Linked DNA regions of Tamandua tetradactyla. The protein of the gene in region 1 interacts with the protein of each later gene in a biochemical or structural test. Links are inferred from orthologs where the notes say so. Each region holds a gene or a part of one and is shown on either strand. Other genes may lie near its edges.

Evidence for each region.
Region 2: the proteins of IKBKB (region 1) and BCL10 form a complex in vitro, tested with the Homo sapiens proteins (2 studies listed by BioGRID, with this or other methods). The link is inferred for Tamandua tetradactyla from reciprocal best matches to the Homo sapiens genes IKBKB and BCL10.

The regions. Positions count from the first base shown.
Region 1 is NC_135329.1:17,816,956-17,825,284, reverse strand, and holds the start of IKBKB (inhibitor of nuclear factor kappa-B kinase subunit beta), read right to left. Parts: upstream 3,985-8,329; 5' UTR 3,832-3,984; intron 3,655-3,831; exon of another isoform or gene 3,565-3,654; intron 3,166-3,564; 5' UTR 3,147-3,165; coding exon 3,042-3,146; intron 1-3,041.
Region 2 is NC_135337.1:39,769,072-39,777,712, reverse strand, and holds the start of BCL10 (B-cell lymphoma/leukemia 10), read right to left. Parts: upstream 3,775-8,641; 5' UTR 3,507-3,774; coding exon 3,450-3,506; intron 1-3,449. UniProt on the Homo sapiens protein: Plays a key role in both adaptive and innate immune signaling by bridging CARD domain-containing proteins to immune activation.

The DNA.
Region 1 (8,329 bases):
TCACCCACAGAGGCCTCTGAACTAGGGACTACTTCTGCCCGGAACTCTCCTCCCATTTTCTCTACAGGGCTACCTGGCTAACTGCTACCAGTCCCTCAAATCTCAGCTCAGGTGTCACTTCCTGGGGAGACCTTTCCTGACCCCCTACTAGATCCCACCCCCTCATATAAGGTTGCATTGCACTGTGTCTTTCTTCCTTGTTGCACGTATCATACTTATGAAGTTACATTGTGATCAGTTGATTAATGTCTCTTTTTCCCCAAAAAGGTTTATTTTAATCACCATTCTATTCATAGCAGACACTCAATAAATATCTGTGGATTGAATAAGTGAATGACTTTGTGCATCTACCATACGTAGAACATCATGACAGATGTTCTGGGGGAACTAAAAGAAGTCCAAAGCCAGACACAGCCCTGGCTCACCAGGAATTTAAACAGCCTTGACAAGACACACTCCTACACACAGTGAGGATTTGCAAATGAGTGGAGCTGGAGGAATTCAATGGAAGGACTAACTCCCACGGAATGAGGCAGTCAGTGATCCACATCCACGGATGAGGGTTTATGGGGGAGGTGGCCTGGAGCTAGTCCTGGAGGGACGGGAAGAATTTTTGTAAAGGAGGCAGGGAGTGGGAGGCTTGACCCAGAAAGGGCTCAGCAAATCCACCTGTCAGGAGTCAATAAAGGGAGGTAAGGTTAGAAAGGAAGGGGTCAGACCACGGGGGTGGGGGTGGGGAATCTCAAGCAACAGACTGAGAAACCCAGCTATCGGCTTTTAAAAAATAAAGAGAACATTAAGCATTTTGAACAGGGGAAGGCAGTAATCCTAGAAGACTAATACAGAGACATACACAAACACACACTCCAAGCCCACATCTATCAAGCCAGAAACAAATTCCACTTGGCAACATCTGAGCTCTCCATGCCCAGAGAGCAGACGGAAGTCATTTCAAGCCAGAGGTGACAGACATATGGCACATTTGGACAGAACTCTTTTTCAAAGGAAACCAAGATGTCTCTAGTTAAGCTGCAGTGAGATATTTGCTGTAGTCAAAAGACTTTTAAAAGCACTGGCCTGTCCAGAGGCACCCAGCCCAGTTATACGTGGTGCTGGAGCATAATCTGGCTCTCTGGGTTTAAAATGAAGCCCTTGGCTAGACTATAATCTGGACAAACTTAAGCAGGTGGTATTTCTAAGGCCTCCTCAGCCAAGGATTTGCTGAAGTACTAGTTTCCACAAGGGGGGTGAAAATGTTACCACCTCTGCCTTCCAGCTCTGGATCCCGTATTCTTCCATGCAGTCAAGAGCTGGCAGGATTCAGGGCAGGGCCTAGAATGTCTCCCAAGTCAATGGCCAAGGAGAGTGGCTCTCTGGAGTGACCCTCTGCCATGGCTGGCCAGCTACCTCAACGTCTTGCAGTGCTGGCTGCAGCCAGGCTCTTGGGGAGTAGAGTACAATTTGTCATCCCTTTAGTCAGAAAAGGTGCTCAACAGCCCCCTTGATTAAAAGGATAGCTGCCTTTCTTCAAGGAATACAATGGCTCTGAATTTTGGAGCAGGAAGTTAATTTCAGCTATTTGGTGAGTGACTTAAGTCAGGGTTCCTCTAGGACAATCGTCTCCAAACTAGGTTTATGCACCCCAGGGGTTGCCCAAGATAATCTAATGGAATCGAAAAATAAAAAAATAAAAAATAAATTAAGCTCTTCTAATATTAACTGATGTTGGCACATTCTTTAGGTCATTTGTCAGAAGGTAACATGCCATGTTTGATATATCCTGAGGAAGGAGGCATTCCACAGGCAGAGGGGTGCCAGGGGCCTATGGAGACACGCTGCAGGTCATGTGCGCCCTGGTGAAGTAGCATTATGGATGCATTATCCAGTCTAAGTAAAACTGACAGTTACAGATTGATTCAGGCCCCCACCCTCCCTCAAAGACATGTTCAAGTCCTAAGCCCTGGTCCTGTGGATGTGAACCACTTGTAATCAGGATTTTTGAAGATCCTATTGAGACAAAGCCAAACTGAAACAGGGTGGGCCTTAATCCGATATGACTGGAGTCCTTATATGCAAAGGAAATCTGCAGATGGTATCAGGTGGATGAGGAGACAGACTACCAGGTGGCAGGCGGAGACTGAGTTCTGGATTACCAGCAAATCACTAGGCTCAAGTACTGGAGGAAGCACCGCCTGCAAGAGATCTTGACTCTGGACTTCTTCCCTCCAAAACTGTGAGATAATAAATTTCTGTTGTGTAAGTCAACCAGCCTGGGATAGCTCTTACTGCAGCCCTGGCAAACTAAGACAATAACTCTCAAAATGAACAAATAGCATAAAGAGATTCCTGCAGAGAACTTCAGGACATATCATACCTACACAAGCAAGGAGGGACATGGTAGAACCGGCACTTCTAGCACAAGTAGCTCATTATAAAGAGCAGGAATAAAAAAAATGAGGATCTGATGAAATCCAAAAAGAAATCAGTCTAAATAATTCAAAATTCTAAATCTGAAGTGTAGATTTTCATCCACTATCCTTAATGACATTCTTAACTTCTGTGCAGATCCAGGTATTTCACGTTGTAAGATACTGTAAATGATACTGAGAAGACATCACAAATAGCAAAATATTTTAAAATATTATTTCATTACCGTCATCCTTAAAATTTTCCTATTTTTGGGTGCTTTATAATAGTTATATATTAGCATGTAACAGTATATGACATTCTAATACTTGCATAAGTTTAAAATATACATAATTGGAGCCAAGAGCTTCACTTTATTGTTATTATTATTTCACTATCTATTATGGTGGTGCGGTCCATTAAAATTGGAGACTAACCTAAAAAGTCAGCTTAGCTGCCCCTAGAAACCCCCTTCCCAGTCCCTCTTCTCATTCACTGCTAAGAATTCCACCACCAAAGGCTAGCACCATTCACCTACCCAGAACAGTGTGGGGTAGAAATTTGCAGTGCCAAGGGGCAGTGAGAGAAGCGTGCCCCCCACCCCCACCCCTTCCCGGGCTGCACAGAGCCCCTACCTGATTGTGCCATCGGATGACGTTTCCAAATCCCCCTGTCCCAAGTCGTTCTTTCATTTCCCAAGCCCCACATGTCTGGGTTGGCAGGGAAGGTGACCAGTTCATTACTGACGTCCTGATAACTCTGTAAGCAATTGGGGATGGGGGGCAAAGGGTTATTATGGTTAAGAAAAAATGGGGCAGGTCCCTGCTCAAGGGGATGGAGAAGGTAAGAGATGGACTTGCCCTTTAGCGTGGGAGAAGAAAAAAACTGAACTGCTTTTTACTTAGCGAATAAACCGGGATTTTTTTGGTGTGGTTTTTTGTTTTTGTTTTTTTAGTTTGTGTTTTGGTTTTGGTGGCAAACTTTTTCTCTCTCATCACCTTCCATCCTCCCACTCTCGTGGGAGGAAGTAAAGAGGAAAGTCACTCAAGGGAGATGATGCCCTACACTCCATGACCTCCAAAGGGGATCCTCGGCTGACCTGCCCGCATCCTCCCACAGGGGACGAGAGAGTCTTGTTTCTGGGCTCCCCACGCTCACCTGTTTCTTTGCAAGGTTCTTTACAAGAATCACGGCTCCCTCCCAATGCCACCATCCTCTAAGCTGCCACCTGGAATCCCCAGGCCGGGGCTGTTCTCCTGGGCCTCCCAACTCGAACCCGTGGCCCCCCGACTTTTAAACTCGACAGAAGTTTCTTCCAGAGCCTCAAGTGAGGATGGAGACGGACAAGTGGACTTGGACAGAGGACCAGCGGGGTCTCCAAGTGGACACGACGCTCTCGGTCCCGCGCCCGCCCGTGGGACTCACCTGTCGGCAGGGACGCGGGGCGGGGGAGAGGCTCCCCGGGGCTGGGGAGGCGGGGCCTGGGGCAGCAAGACCAGGGGCTCTGGTACCACTCAGAAGACATTAAAATGCGGGAATCTCAAACCAACCAGCAGCGCGCGACTTCCTGAAACACTTCCTGCTCTGACGTCATGGGGCACGTGGGCCGGCGCACCGCTCTTAAAGGGGCCGCGGCGGCGCGTGGGCTCCGCCCTCCCCCCCCCCCCCCCCGAAGCCTGCCTTTCCCCAGGGCTCTCCGCCCCACGTGGCCCCCGGGAGGGATGCGGGTGGCTCCTGAACGACTGGGCGGAACTGAACAGAACTGTGCTCCCCGAGATAAAAGAGTCTTCAAACGAACCCCAGCACGCCAGTGTTCTCTATAGGGAAATGCCGGGAACCTGCAGCGGTGTCCAGGGCAGAAGGGATGGGGGATTTCCTCTGCCCAGCCCTGCTAGGGTAAACCTGACCTCGCTTCCCAGACGTGGAGCAGGTGGAATTTCCCCCGCGTCCCCGCTAGGATTGATTTAGGGACTGTTAGCCAGAATCGCTGTTGCCCTCCTGGGCTCCTGCTGCGCCTCCCGTGTCTGGAGGTTCCTGTCTCTGTATCAAGAATGACAAATCCCAGCTGTACTTCTCAGCAGTGACACCTCCCTCCCCGACCACCCCCTCACCCCCACACACACAAAAAAAAAGAAGAAAAAGAAAAAAAAAAAACCAACCCTAGTAGTATAAAACTGAACTCGAGTTTCAGCTCCAGTAAGGCTCTCGACCCGAGGTTAAGCGTTCATTTCCTCCGCACTTGGCATTATAATAAGGTCTTTAATATTAAGTTTCTGGATCTTGTGGCATTCTGTTGGTATACAATGGAGTTGTGTGTGTGTGTGTGTGTGTGTGTGTGTGTGTGTGTGTGTGTGTGAGTTGGTATATTTAATCAAGAAGGAAAAAGGGATTAAAGGAAACCTGAAGGTGGTAATAATAGCTCACATTTATAGAGTGCTTGCTAAATGCCAGGTGCTTTCCTAAACTCTGTACTTAGATTTCGGGTCATTTAAGGTTACTTTACAAATTAAATAATACTGCATTATTATTACCCTCACTTTGCAAATGAGGAAACTAAAGCATACAGAGGAAAACTCTTCATCTCAAAGCCACAGGGCTAGTAAATGGAAGATGTGAGATTTAACCCCCAGTAGCTGGTTCCTAGGCAGATGCTCTTAATATTTGATTAAAAATAACAGGCTAAGAGGTTCAACCTAAGGAGGCAAACTGGGTTTTGAATTCAGATACTGCTGTCAATTAGCTCGAAGAATTAAGGAGAAATTATTTAACCACTCCAAGCCTCCATTTCCTCTTCTTTTAAATGTAGGCAATATTAGGGTGAGTCACATGAAATTGCCATTTTTTAAATAAATCAAACAGCATCAATTAAAGTTCAGCAATTTTCTTTGGTCCAGCCTAAGAGCAGCAAGAGGACAGGAAGGCACACAAGTGGCAGAGGAGGTGCCAGTTCAGTTTCCCTGAGGGGCCAGTGAGGTAATGGTAACGGTAGTGCCTGACCCAGTGGACACTCCTGTCTTCCTAAACAGGGTCCAAGGTTGCAATTAACTTTGGGGAACATATTTCAGCTCATTAGCACAAAGTAATGATGCCTGGCATATTCCAAGTGCAATATACGTGTTTGTTTAATAATTAAATCAAATTAAACAAATATTTATTTAGCACCTACTTGTGCTGAGCTCTGCTTAGGATATGTATGACATCATGAAAGCTTCTTTTTAATCCTGTCACCACTGATAATCACTGTCCCTGAGAAATTTAGCAAGATATCCACTGACATGCCCAAGGTTGACTCTGCACCATTTTCCTTTGAGTTCTCATTCTGCTGAGTCCAGAACAGCTTGTTCTTCAATTGAACATAAATCTCTTTGATAAAGTCGCATACACTGCTAGTTTTTTAAAAAAATAAGTGCATGATGAGCCAGGAAAGAGCCTGTGAATTTTATCATGTCCCAAGATATTTATCATCTTAAACTCCTTTTTTCCTTCCAGATAAGATATGCCCAGAATACCGTGTCTGGTATCTTTCCTGCTCTGGAGGATGTGAGCAGACTGCTCATAACAAGACATTTTCAGATGGCAGCAGAAAAACGTTCCTTCTTCTTCCTGCTTTGAAACCGAGTGTCCTAGTTAGCAGAAGCTATAGGATAATCAAGAAATACTGGAGAGGGCATAGCATAGCTCTGGGCACCGCTGACCACAGGGAATTCAACCAATGCAAGTCTCATCACAGACACTTAGAATCTTATTGAGAACATAAGACCCACAGAGAGCCAACAGGTAACTGGAGATCAGAACAAGGCAACACAAACTCAGGTGCTAATTTGTTCTGCTGTAGAGGCAGTATAGTAGGTTAGTGATGAGGATAAGGTTTCTTAATATTGTTTCATTTAAAATAAAATCTTATTCCAGAGGAAGTCAAAGACAATGATTTTCTTAAGCATCTTTTTGTAGCATCCTTTGCGAAAACCCTGCTGCTATTGGAACACTGCCTCTCACCTTAACAGCAGCTGGGCAAAGCAACCCTGAGTTCCTTTGAATGAGGAAAGGATTGTTTTCTGAGCCACCTGAGAGGAGAGTAGGAAGAGTGAGCTTAGAAGATATCAAGACAATAAAATAGAGCACTCCATCTTGGGAGGATTTTCCTGGCACCCTAGTACCAAGTTTGTTTTCTCTCAGCCCTGCTGAGGACTCTGCAAGTCAGGGCTTGTTCCTTCAACAAACAAAAATTCTGCTGCCAGAAAGGTTGGAAAAACTTGTTTTGTTGAAAGGAATAAAGAAATCTGCCTTTCTTCTGCAAGAGTTGGTGGGAGATGGGGGGTGGACTGGCAGAGACTGAAAAGGAGAGTCAACACAGCTCGGATCTTCAGAGCTCAGTATAAGAACTGGCTGCAGAAGAGGAAGGAAAGAAATTGCAGGCAACTCCTATCTCTGAGAACAGGACCTGAGCCAGTGGTGAAACTTGGAGAGAAGCAGAGTCAGCCAAGTCATCATGCTTCAAATTTTGGGTGAAACACTGAAGGCTGGAAACTCAGAGCCCTGGGTCACCCTCCCTGGAGGGTGGCTTGGGAGAGGAAATCATTTTGCATGCTCCCTTCACATTTACACACACATGTTTTTATTCCAATAAAATCCATTTAAAGAGGAAGCAGTCACTAAAGGGCCCATCCTTTGTGGTGGAGAATCTGTGGGTATGAACTGGGCACATCAGCTGATAGCTGTGTTCCTTCATCACCTCAATTCTGAGCTCCTCCTTTGGCTCAGGGATTTTGTTCACTGCTGCATCCCCAGTGCCTGAGGCATAATAGATGCTCAAGAAAAATTTACCGAATTAAATAATCAGTCAACCAGTGCAAAGACCCGTAATGCTGCACTCTTTAGCATTGGATGTACGTGGACCCTGGAGTCTGAAAGAGATCTGGGTTTTAATGCTGACTCTGGCTTCATGGACTCAGACAATTTACTTTACCTCCCTGAGCCCTGGTTTCTGTATCTACAATCTACTCTTCCTGGTTATGTGATTTAAGTGAGATAATAGATGTAAAGAGTTTAGGACAGAGCCTGGCACTTTTTAAGCCTGCATGATTTTTTTGATGCAATAGCCTAGGTGTCAGCAGAGATTCCTGTCCTTATGATTCAAGTAAAATCGCTTCAAACCCTCCCCTCCCCTTGATGTAAAAGACCCTGTACCCTTTCTCTTTCCCATCTCTCCAGGAATTGGTGTAAGCGGTGGTGGAGCTGGCCTGTGGTGGCGCATGAGGCTAGTGGTATGTTTCTTACTCAGCCAATTCTGACTCCTACTTTCACTAAATTCCCAAACACCCTTTCCAAATAGGTCCTCCTCCCTACATGACCGGTTATTTTGTCACCACACTCTCCCCATCTAGTCCTTCATAGCACTCGTCACTACTTTTAGCATGTTATTTGTTTACTGTCGGTTGCCTGCCTCCCAGCAGTTAATGCTGTCAGTCCCCTGTCTATTCTAATTCCGCTGTTCTAGCATCACGTCGTGCTGGCCACACAGTAATAATAACAGTAGTAGCAAACATTTGACTGCTCAGTAGGTGCTCAGCGATGATGTGTATATTGAAGGAATTGGATCAGTCTATGTGTCATTTTTCATTCCTGGGCCTGTGATTTCTGTTCCTTATCCAGATGTGGAAGTCAGCCCTACTCCTTGATTTTATCCAATAATCATTTAAAGAAGAACTTCATATTCAACAGATTTTACCGGAGGTTTGGAGCGATGGAAGGGTTTATATCATAGTGCCTGCCACAAACACATTAAGATCTAATATCCGACAACCTCTCTCAAAAGTTCCCCTTGTCCAGCTCCTGGGCCCCCACCCTGCCCAACCCCTCTCCACTCCCTCTCCTCTCCAGCCCCTCAGGCCTCCTGCTCTTGAGCAAAGAGACAGATCCCTCC
Region 2 (8,641 bases), on another chromosome or scaffold:
ACCCATCACTTGTATTTTTAACTTAGTTCTCTCCTCTGACCTCCAGACTTGTAAATCTAATTGCTGATTTAATATTCCTACTTACTCATCTAATTCCATTCTCTTTCTCAACTCCCACATTCAACCCATCATCAAGTCTTACCAATTTGTTTCAGAAATGTATCTAGAGTTCTACTTGATTCATCTTCACTGCCTTCACCCAGATTCAGATCACCATCATCTCTCATCTATATAAATTCCAAGAGTCTCTTTCTTGATTTTCCTGCTCTCACTCTTCTCACTCTTGCTTCCCCCCTGTCCAACCCAACAGAAGAGATATCTTTAAAAATAAAATATAATTCATTAGGTTCCCAGTACACTTGGGAAAAAACACAAAGTCTTTATTACCATCTTCATGATCTGACCCTAGCCTATCTTCCTAACTTCACCTCAGGCTACTCTCTGCCTTCTTCCAATTTCCCCAAGTCACCAAGTTCTTCTTGGCTGTTTTATTTTTAGGTCCTTTGTAAATTCTATTCTCCTTAGAATGTTCTTTCCCCAGTTCTGTCACATCCTTTAGGAATCCATTTAAATGTACACTTTCCAGACCATCCTACCTCAAGTAGATTTCCCCTATTAATGTCTCAGCACCTGTTTGTCAACTTCACAGCATTTGCCATAATTTGTAATTATACATTCATTTGTTTTCAACCCTAATTACCTATACGCATGAAGCAGGCAAGAACCAGGAATGTTTTGTTCAACACTACACTTTAACAGAGTACCAAGTAAATATGTTTTGGATGAATACATAATTCATTACACTTATTTTGTAATTTCTAATTATTACTTTTTACCTGTCTCCCTCTCCCAAGAAATCAAGATATTTTCAAATGACTGTTTTAGTTTTTAATTTCGGAACTGTTAGAAACAACTACAGCATCAGCCCTCCCAGTAGCATGTAATTCATATTTATTAAACTGAACTAAATCCAACCCCTAAAAGATAAGCTAAATAACTAGATGGGAAGAAGTTGGAATTTCTAGGAAGATGGATGGTGGTATACCATTCATCACCATATAAAATACAGCAGTAAAGGCAAGCTGCTTTGGGGGAGGGATCAATTTTAGACAAGTGAGGAATTTGCAGAATGTGAAAGATTTCCAATAGATAATTAGAAATACAGGGCTAAAGTTGAGAGAAGTCTGAATATGTGGAAGGTAATTTTTTTTTCTTTGGCATGGCAGGCACTGTGAATCGAACCTGGGTCTTCAGCATGGCAGGAAAGAACTCTGCCACTGCGCCATCATCTGCCACCCAGTGGATGGTAATTTTAAAACTTAAGGTCAAAAACCATTTTGAAAATCTTCAAGATTTTTTTTCATAGACCTCCTGAAATCCATCCACGGTCTCCCCAAGGTTATGAATTTCTGATAAAAATGCAAACTGAAAATATGGAGATGGAGAACATCAATGAACAGTCATAAAAATAAAGGCAAAGAACCCACTCTTCACATCTGCATTTGTATAGTTTTATCTCCTCTCACTTGTAATTGCCCAGTCATCAACTATAAAATGGGAATAACAATATCTCCCTTACAGGTTCTTGTAAAGATTTTAAATGGGAGCATTTATGGAACTCTGTAAGCTTAGTTCTTGAAGTTCTTGGTTTTACTGGCATCCATGTTGAACAAGACAAAACTCATTCTGTAGTACAGATTGTCCTCATTATTTGCTGATTACATTTGTGAATTTGCCTACCCAGAAAAATTTATTTATAACCCCCAAATCAATATTCATGGAGTTTTCCCATTCTTTCATAGATGTGCAGAATAGTAAAAAAAATTGAGTTCTTGATGCGCACATTTCCAGCAGAGGTCAAACAAGGCAATGCTCTACCTTCCTGTTTCAGCTCATATTGTTAACAACGTCTTTTTCATGGTTTATTAAGTGCCATGTTTGTCACATTTCTGTGCTTTTTGTTGGTGATTTCGCTGTTTAAAATGAACTCCATGTGTAGTGCTACAGTGCTGCCTAGCACTGTGATGTAACTCACAGAGAAAATATATTTGTTAGATAAGCTTTGCTCAAGCATGAATTACAGTGCTGTTGGCCATGAATTCATTGCTAATGAATCAACAATATAAATGAAGTAATGTGTCTTTAAAGAGACATACATATAAATCAAAGTAATATATTGATCGGTTGAAGAAAACGTTGCAACCAAAGGCTGGCTTGAACCTAACCCTGTATTTCCCCTAGGAATAAAGATTCAGTATTCAATAATTAGGAGTTCTCAAGGACTTTATAGAACATAATTACCACAAATAATGAAAATCCACTGTAGTCATCAATGTCCCAGTCTCATCTCAACTAGATTATAAAGCAGGGGTATTATCTTCATTTTTATATCCTAGGCAGAAGAATGGTACTTTGCAGATAGTAAGTGTCCCATAAATACCTGATAAGGAAATTAAGGCACAAGTTCTAGTCATACAGTTTAATTTCCAGCTTCCTTTTGCTAATGAGTCATGCTATATGAGCACAGTGTAATAAACAATACTGGGGAGGGAAGAGGAAGGGAGTTGAAAAAGATGAACATTAAAAAAGTTCCTCTCCCTCACAATTCACAAAGATTGTATTCTTAAGGTACTGCAATGTCAAATCAGAGCATACATTATGTTGTTTCCGTTTTTAATTTGAATTAGTATAAAACATTTTAGTAGTATTCCTACAGGTCTCAAATGAAAAACCAAGTAACTAAAAACAAAGAAGAAAGAAGCAAATCATACCTCAACAAAGCCATTCGTACAAATAGGTATTAAGGTTTGTGCAGTTCTGCAACATCCAGGCAGAAGAAATTAATTTAGCTACAGAATATTTCCAACGTTTACCTGTAAATTAATTCTCTGCTACATGTATTCATACCCCCCTCAATTTAAATACGTGGGCGTTTGCTTACTAGGGGAATTCCAGGTTGCGCTTTCAGCTGTTGAGCTTCCCTCAATCCCCTTTGCAAAACAGTTTCACATATTTGCTCCATTGCTTCGGATTCTTTTTCTGGTCCAGCTTTTGCTCTACGTTGGGTTCACAGCCTAGGAAGTATGACTTTTTAAAAAAGGATGAGGATCCCCAACAACGGAGCTTCGTAAGCACAGCCGGGAGGTAAAATCATGAGCGGGTAAGACGCTGACTACGAAGAAAAGGTCTACTGGACAAAGTTTCAGAAACCTTAATCCTGTGTTCAGCGATTCGAAAATGTGGATCAACAAATCACCGAGGGATCACTTCCAGCAAGGTCCTTTGGTCGCAGGGCTCGTCGCGATCCTCCAGAGCCCAGACCTTTCGCTCCTCCCACCCAGAGGCTCTTCTCCGGGATCCGGTTTCTGCTTCCCTCTCCCGTGGGACTGCAGCCCGCCCCCGCCCACCCCCGGATACCAGCGGCGCCTGGGCAAGGTTGCGCTACTCACGTCCTTCTTCACTTCAGTCAGGTCCTCCTCGGTGAGGGACAGCACGGTGGGCTCCATGGCAGAGGCAGGAGACGGCTCTTCTTCCGGGTCCGGGAGCTTGGCCTCGCCGCCCCTCCCAGACCTGGGGGCTTCGATAACCTCGAGAAGAGGGGGAAAGGAGAGGCGGAGCGGGTCTCGAAGAAGAAAACCGCCCCTAGGAAAACAGTGGCTCGGGGGTCGCCCTCTGGGGGCGACGGCGCCTCAGACCGTACGCGCCGCGACGCGGAGATCCAAGCCAGGCTCCTTCCCTGTCCAGGGAGGCTCAGGCGCAGGCGCCGCCCGTTCGGGAGGCTGGGCCTTCGGCAGGACCCGCCCCGTCACTACGACAGCCAATCAGCCCAAGCCTCCCACCGGAGCCTTTCAGGAGTGGCTCTACCCGCAGCTGACGTCACCTCAAGCTACACCTCCGCAGGTCATTTGCATGTGGCCGGAGGCTGGCCTCCCAATAAGGAATCGTTTCCGTGGGTGGGATCCGTTGCTGCTCAGCTGGCTGGCACCGCCCACGGCGGCAGGCGTTTCACGCTGGGTGTAGGTTTGTTAGTACCTTCGGGTTCCTCCCTTTTTTCCTGACCGGGTTCTATAATTTCCTGTTGCTGTGTTTGCCCATTCAAATGTTTAAGTTGTTATTACACACAAACACACGCGCACACACGGAACAGAACTGCAGTATTAAAGAAATTTGGGGAAATAAGAAAAAGAACCACCTCATTCCCACCACTTTAACATCTAATTAAACGTTTGCATCCTTCTCGGTGGCTGTTCGTTTATAAACATGTTTTTCTTCATTCATAAATCTGTGGAGTGGAGTTAGATCTACTTCATGGGACTGCTGTGAGAATTAAATTATACATGGAAAGCTGTAGGTACCTGGCACGGGATAAGCACTTATTAGTATTATTTTGTATTACTCAAGCATTTAGTTGGTACTTACTAATATGTTCCTGGCAGCTTCTCCTGTAAGGGTTCTTCCACATTTGGGGGTGGGGGAGATTGATGAACAGTAGTTATTCCCAGAATGGTATTCCACTCAGGAATAGAGGAGTATGCAAAGCAACCTGAGAAATGTGGGTGAGGAGCTGAGAATAGAGGTCTACGCCCAAGGAGGAAAGTTGGATGACATACTAAATAAACTGGATAGTTTTTGAAGCCACAAGGGTAGGTCAAAATGAGGAGACCAAGGACAAACTTGGAAAGCCAATGTTTAAGGTCAGGGGAAGCAAAAAACCAGAAAAGAGGTGTTCCCCAAAATGCACCAAAACATTTTTAATCACAACCCAAGGATTCTGCTTTTTTGCATTAACATTATGTCATGTCTTTTTCCACATTGATACAAAATACAAGTACAGTTTTTTTCTGCTTGCTAAATCTTCTGTTGTCTAGGCCTAACGGAAGATACATATTTGAAAAAATTTATGTAAATTATTTAGTATATTAGAAGATGATAAACAGAAAATAAAATGGAGAAGCAGGATGAGGCTTCTCATTTACAATAATTTACAATAGTGTGTCTGCTTTAGTTTCCCTTGGCTCCTCAAGCAAATACCATGCAGTGGATTGGCTTCAACAATGGAAATTTAATAATTTACTGTTTGAGGCTAGGAAAAGTCCAACTCAAGGCAATGCTTCGTCTTGAAGACTCTGGGGTTGACTGCCAGTGATCCCAGGTCTGGGGTCCCTGTTCCTTATCTCCTGTTCTTTTGACTTTCAGTGTTTTGCTTCCCATGGCCTTCTCTCTGTGTGTCTGCATTACATTCAGCTTTTGAAGGAGTCCAGTAATCGGATTAAGACCCATCTTGATTGAGTTGGACCGCATCGTAACTTTTGTAACCTCATCAAATGTCCTGCTTCTAATGGGTTCACACCCACAGGAATGGATTAAGTTTAAGAACTATTTGCTACTGGGGTACATAGCTCCGGACCATCACAGCAGCCAATGAAGACCTGCCTGAAAAGGTGGGATTTTGGTTAGGATTTGAAGGAGGTGAGGGAGTGCATATTTGGAGAAAGAGCCTTGTGAATAGAAGGAACAGCCAATGAAAGGCTCCGGGGGTGGCTGGGATGGAGTCAGGGGTGAGCAGAAGATGAGATTCTTGTGTTCCTTTGTAAGAGTTTTCTCCCACTTTGCTGAATCATACGGGCTTACTCTGAGTCAGACAGGAAGCTGCTGGAGAAGAGTGGTGTGATCTGATTTATGATTTTTGTTGAGGAGGAGGGTGAAAGGAGGAGACCAGTTAGGGGGTCTCTTCTTTAATCCAGGCCCTAGAGGTGGTGGCTCAGACAGGAGAGCTAGCTGTGATGCTTGTAAAAACACAATTTGAAGAGAAATGAGGAAGCACTTTGATTTCCTTTAGGATCACTCTGACTGTAGAAGCAAGAGCAAAAATGGAGACCAGCTGGAGGCCACTGTAGGGATTTAGACAGACAGGAGAGTGGCTCTACCAGGTGGGAGCAGTGGTGAGTGCTGCCCCGTTGTTCCCTTGGCATTATTCCCAATCTTCCATGGTTATAAAAAAATTATAAAATTTTTTGCCTACATATTTCCTATGCTATTCTCTTTTGAATTATTATTTTCTTTGCCTAAATTATCAGGAGGCAGGAGTATGCTCCCAACCAAGGAAATGAATATTTTATGGCTTTTCAGATGTATTTCCACAGGTTCTCTCCTAAAGGGTTGTGTGGGAATGAACCGCACCGGCTTTGCTCGTGAAAGAGGTGATTTCCCCCCAATTAAAGCAAATGATTTGCCAGTTTGGTGAATCCCATTTGGTCCAGTCATTTTGAAGTTGCTGTTATACTGTTCTTTTTAAAATGAAATATTTTAAACACACCAAACAGTAAAAAGAGTTATATTACAAACACCCCACACTCATTACCATGAATTAACAAATAATTGATATTTTGACACCTTTATTTCTGTTATGGGTTTTGACTATCAAATGTTAATGGTAGACAACTCTGATTCTGACCCTTTCCTTGTCCTTGACCATCATCTCTCTCTCTTTTTTTTATGTTATATTTCTCTTTTTTTATTGTGAAAAATAACGTATATACAAAAAAGTAATACATTTCAAAGCACACTGCAACAATTAGTTATAGAACAGATTTCAGAGTTTGACAGTTCCACAATTTTAGGTTTTCCCATTTAGCTGCTCCAAGACACTGGAGACTAAAAGAAATAGGATTTGTATTATTCAATACAATAATTCAGCAGTCATATTCATTTGTTAAATCCTATCTTCTCTGTTATAACTCCACTTTCTCCTTTGAGCCTTCTCCCAATCTTTAGGGGTATTTAGGCTATGTCCATTCCAACTTTTTCATGTTGGAAAGAGCTGTCAATAATATGAGATAGGGGAATGGCACTAGTTGATGTTTTGGAGAGGCTGGCCCCTCTGGGTCCATCATCTCTTTTCTGACACGTGCAGCCATGCCCTTCTTCCATCCTTGATGTTCATTCACTTATTCATTTATTCAACAAAAAGTTGTGCCTATTAGGTGCCAGTAATAGGGTTGGTGATGGACTGAAGAGCCGACGTTGGATGACACTCAGGTGTGGAGTGAGAATCTTAGGAATTTTTGAAAGCTGAAAGTTTAATATTTTGCTTTCCAGGTGTTCCAGCCCAGCCCAGCCCAGCCCAAAGACCAAAGAACACAGCAGAGAGTTAGATATGGGTTTCATTTGGGACTTACTAACAGGAAACGATTCTTTCTGATGGTGACTGGTCAGGAAATGGAAATCAGTGATCCCCAAAACAAGAGGAAGAGTACCTTATATGATTCAGCAAAGCCTGGCAATATCTGTTACAAAGAAGCTTCAGCAGAGTCTCAGCCAGTTAATTACCAACAGTGATTAGGGGAGGGGAGTTTTAATTGCTTTAACAATAATGTCTGGGCTCTGATCACACCGGCTGCTGCATACTTAAGCCTTCATCTCCCAAGGGAGGGGGTCCTGACCCTGGGCCACCACACCAGGCCATGTTTTAAGGTTCCTGGGTCAAATCATGTGTCAAAGGGGCCGCATCCTAATGTCAAGTACCTAATCAAAGAGCTGGTTTGTGGCAGGCATTACAGTTCTCAATTCTGCTTTCTTTCTAATGTATCACATTTCATAATATGCAAACTCATTTCCTCTTCTCTGTTAAATCTCAGGGTCAGACTGTAGTGAAGGTTGGGCATATTTCCAAGAAAATAGCCCCGCTTATTCCCTATTTGCAATATTTTCACCTCCCCATCCCCTAGTATGCCCTTCATCCCTACCTCTGTGTCTAGGTTTCTAGGTACACCATCCTGCCTTGTGCTGTGAAATACAAGGCATCTGATAAATGTAGTGTGAATAATACAGTTTATGTGCTAAGAAAATAAGGTGGCATATCATTGTGGTTAAGAATGAGGACGTTTGGCATCTGACAGACCTAGGTTGGATTCTGGCTTTGCCACTTAATAGCTGTATGACCTTGAATAAATAATAAACACTTAATGAAAAAAATAGCTTTTATAAGAGTGTAAAGGAAGAGATGAATGTAATCAGTCACTTTTGACTGATAAGGTGACAGGAAAGAGGTGTATTTTGGTTGGCCAAGTAGATTTCAATAGGCGGAACTTTTGTTGCTTAATGATTTATTTCAAAAGTTTTATTAAATATCTGCCAGGTACAAAATACTATGTTGAACAACAAATTTTATTCCAGATGATTGTGAGCTATAACTTTCCTATAACCAGCTGGAAGAAAAAGTAGCCAGTTCTGAGGCATCCCTGTGTTTTATTTGCAGACAATATTGGTGAAATTCCGAGATAGAAGCTCACGGACTTGGTGAACGCTCCAGATGATCCTGCCCCCAGGAAGGGCTTCCAGTTTAGGAAGGAAGGACCCAGCATGAGAATGCTCTGAGGACATTCATAGTGCACCCCAAGATCAGGGCATTGCTGGGCTTGATGAGGAAACTGGATCCTTTCCTCCACCATCCTGGTTGGTTTGGAGACTGCAGGTAGACACCTGGTATTAGAGGCTTGCGTGTTTCTGGGACATGGAGCCCTGATTATCGTCAAGGGGAGGATATCGTCAATATCCTCATAAACCCACAGGAGAACCAGCGGGAGAGGCTCGATCTCCCAGTTGTACAACTGCCTGGGGAAAAATGCTCACTAACTATCAT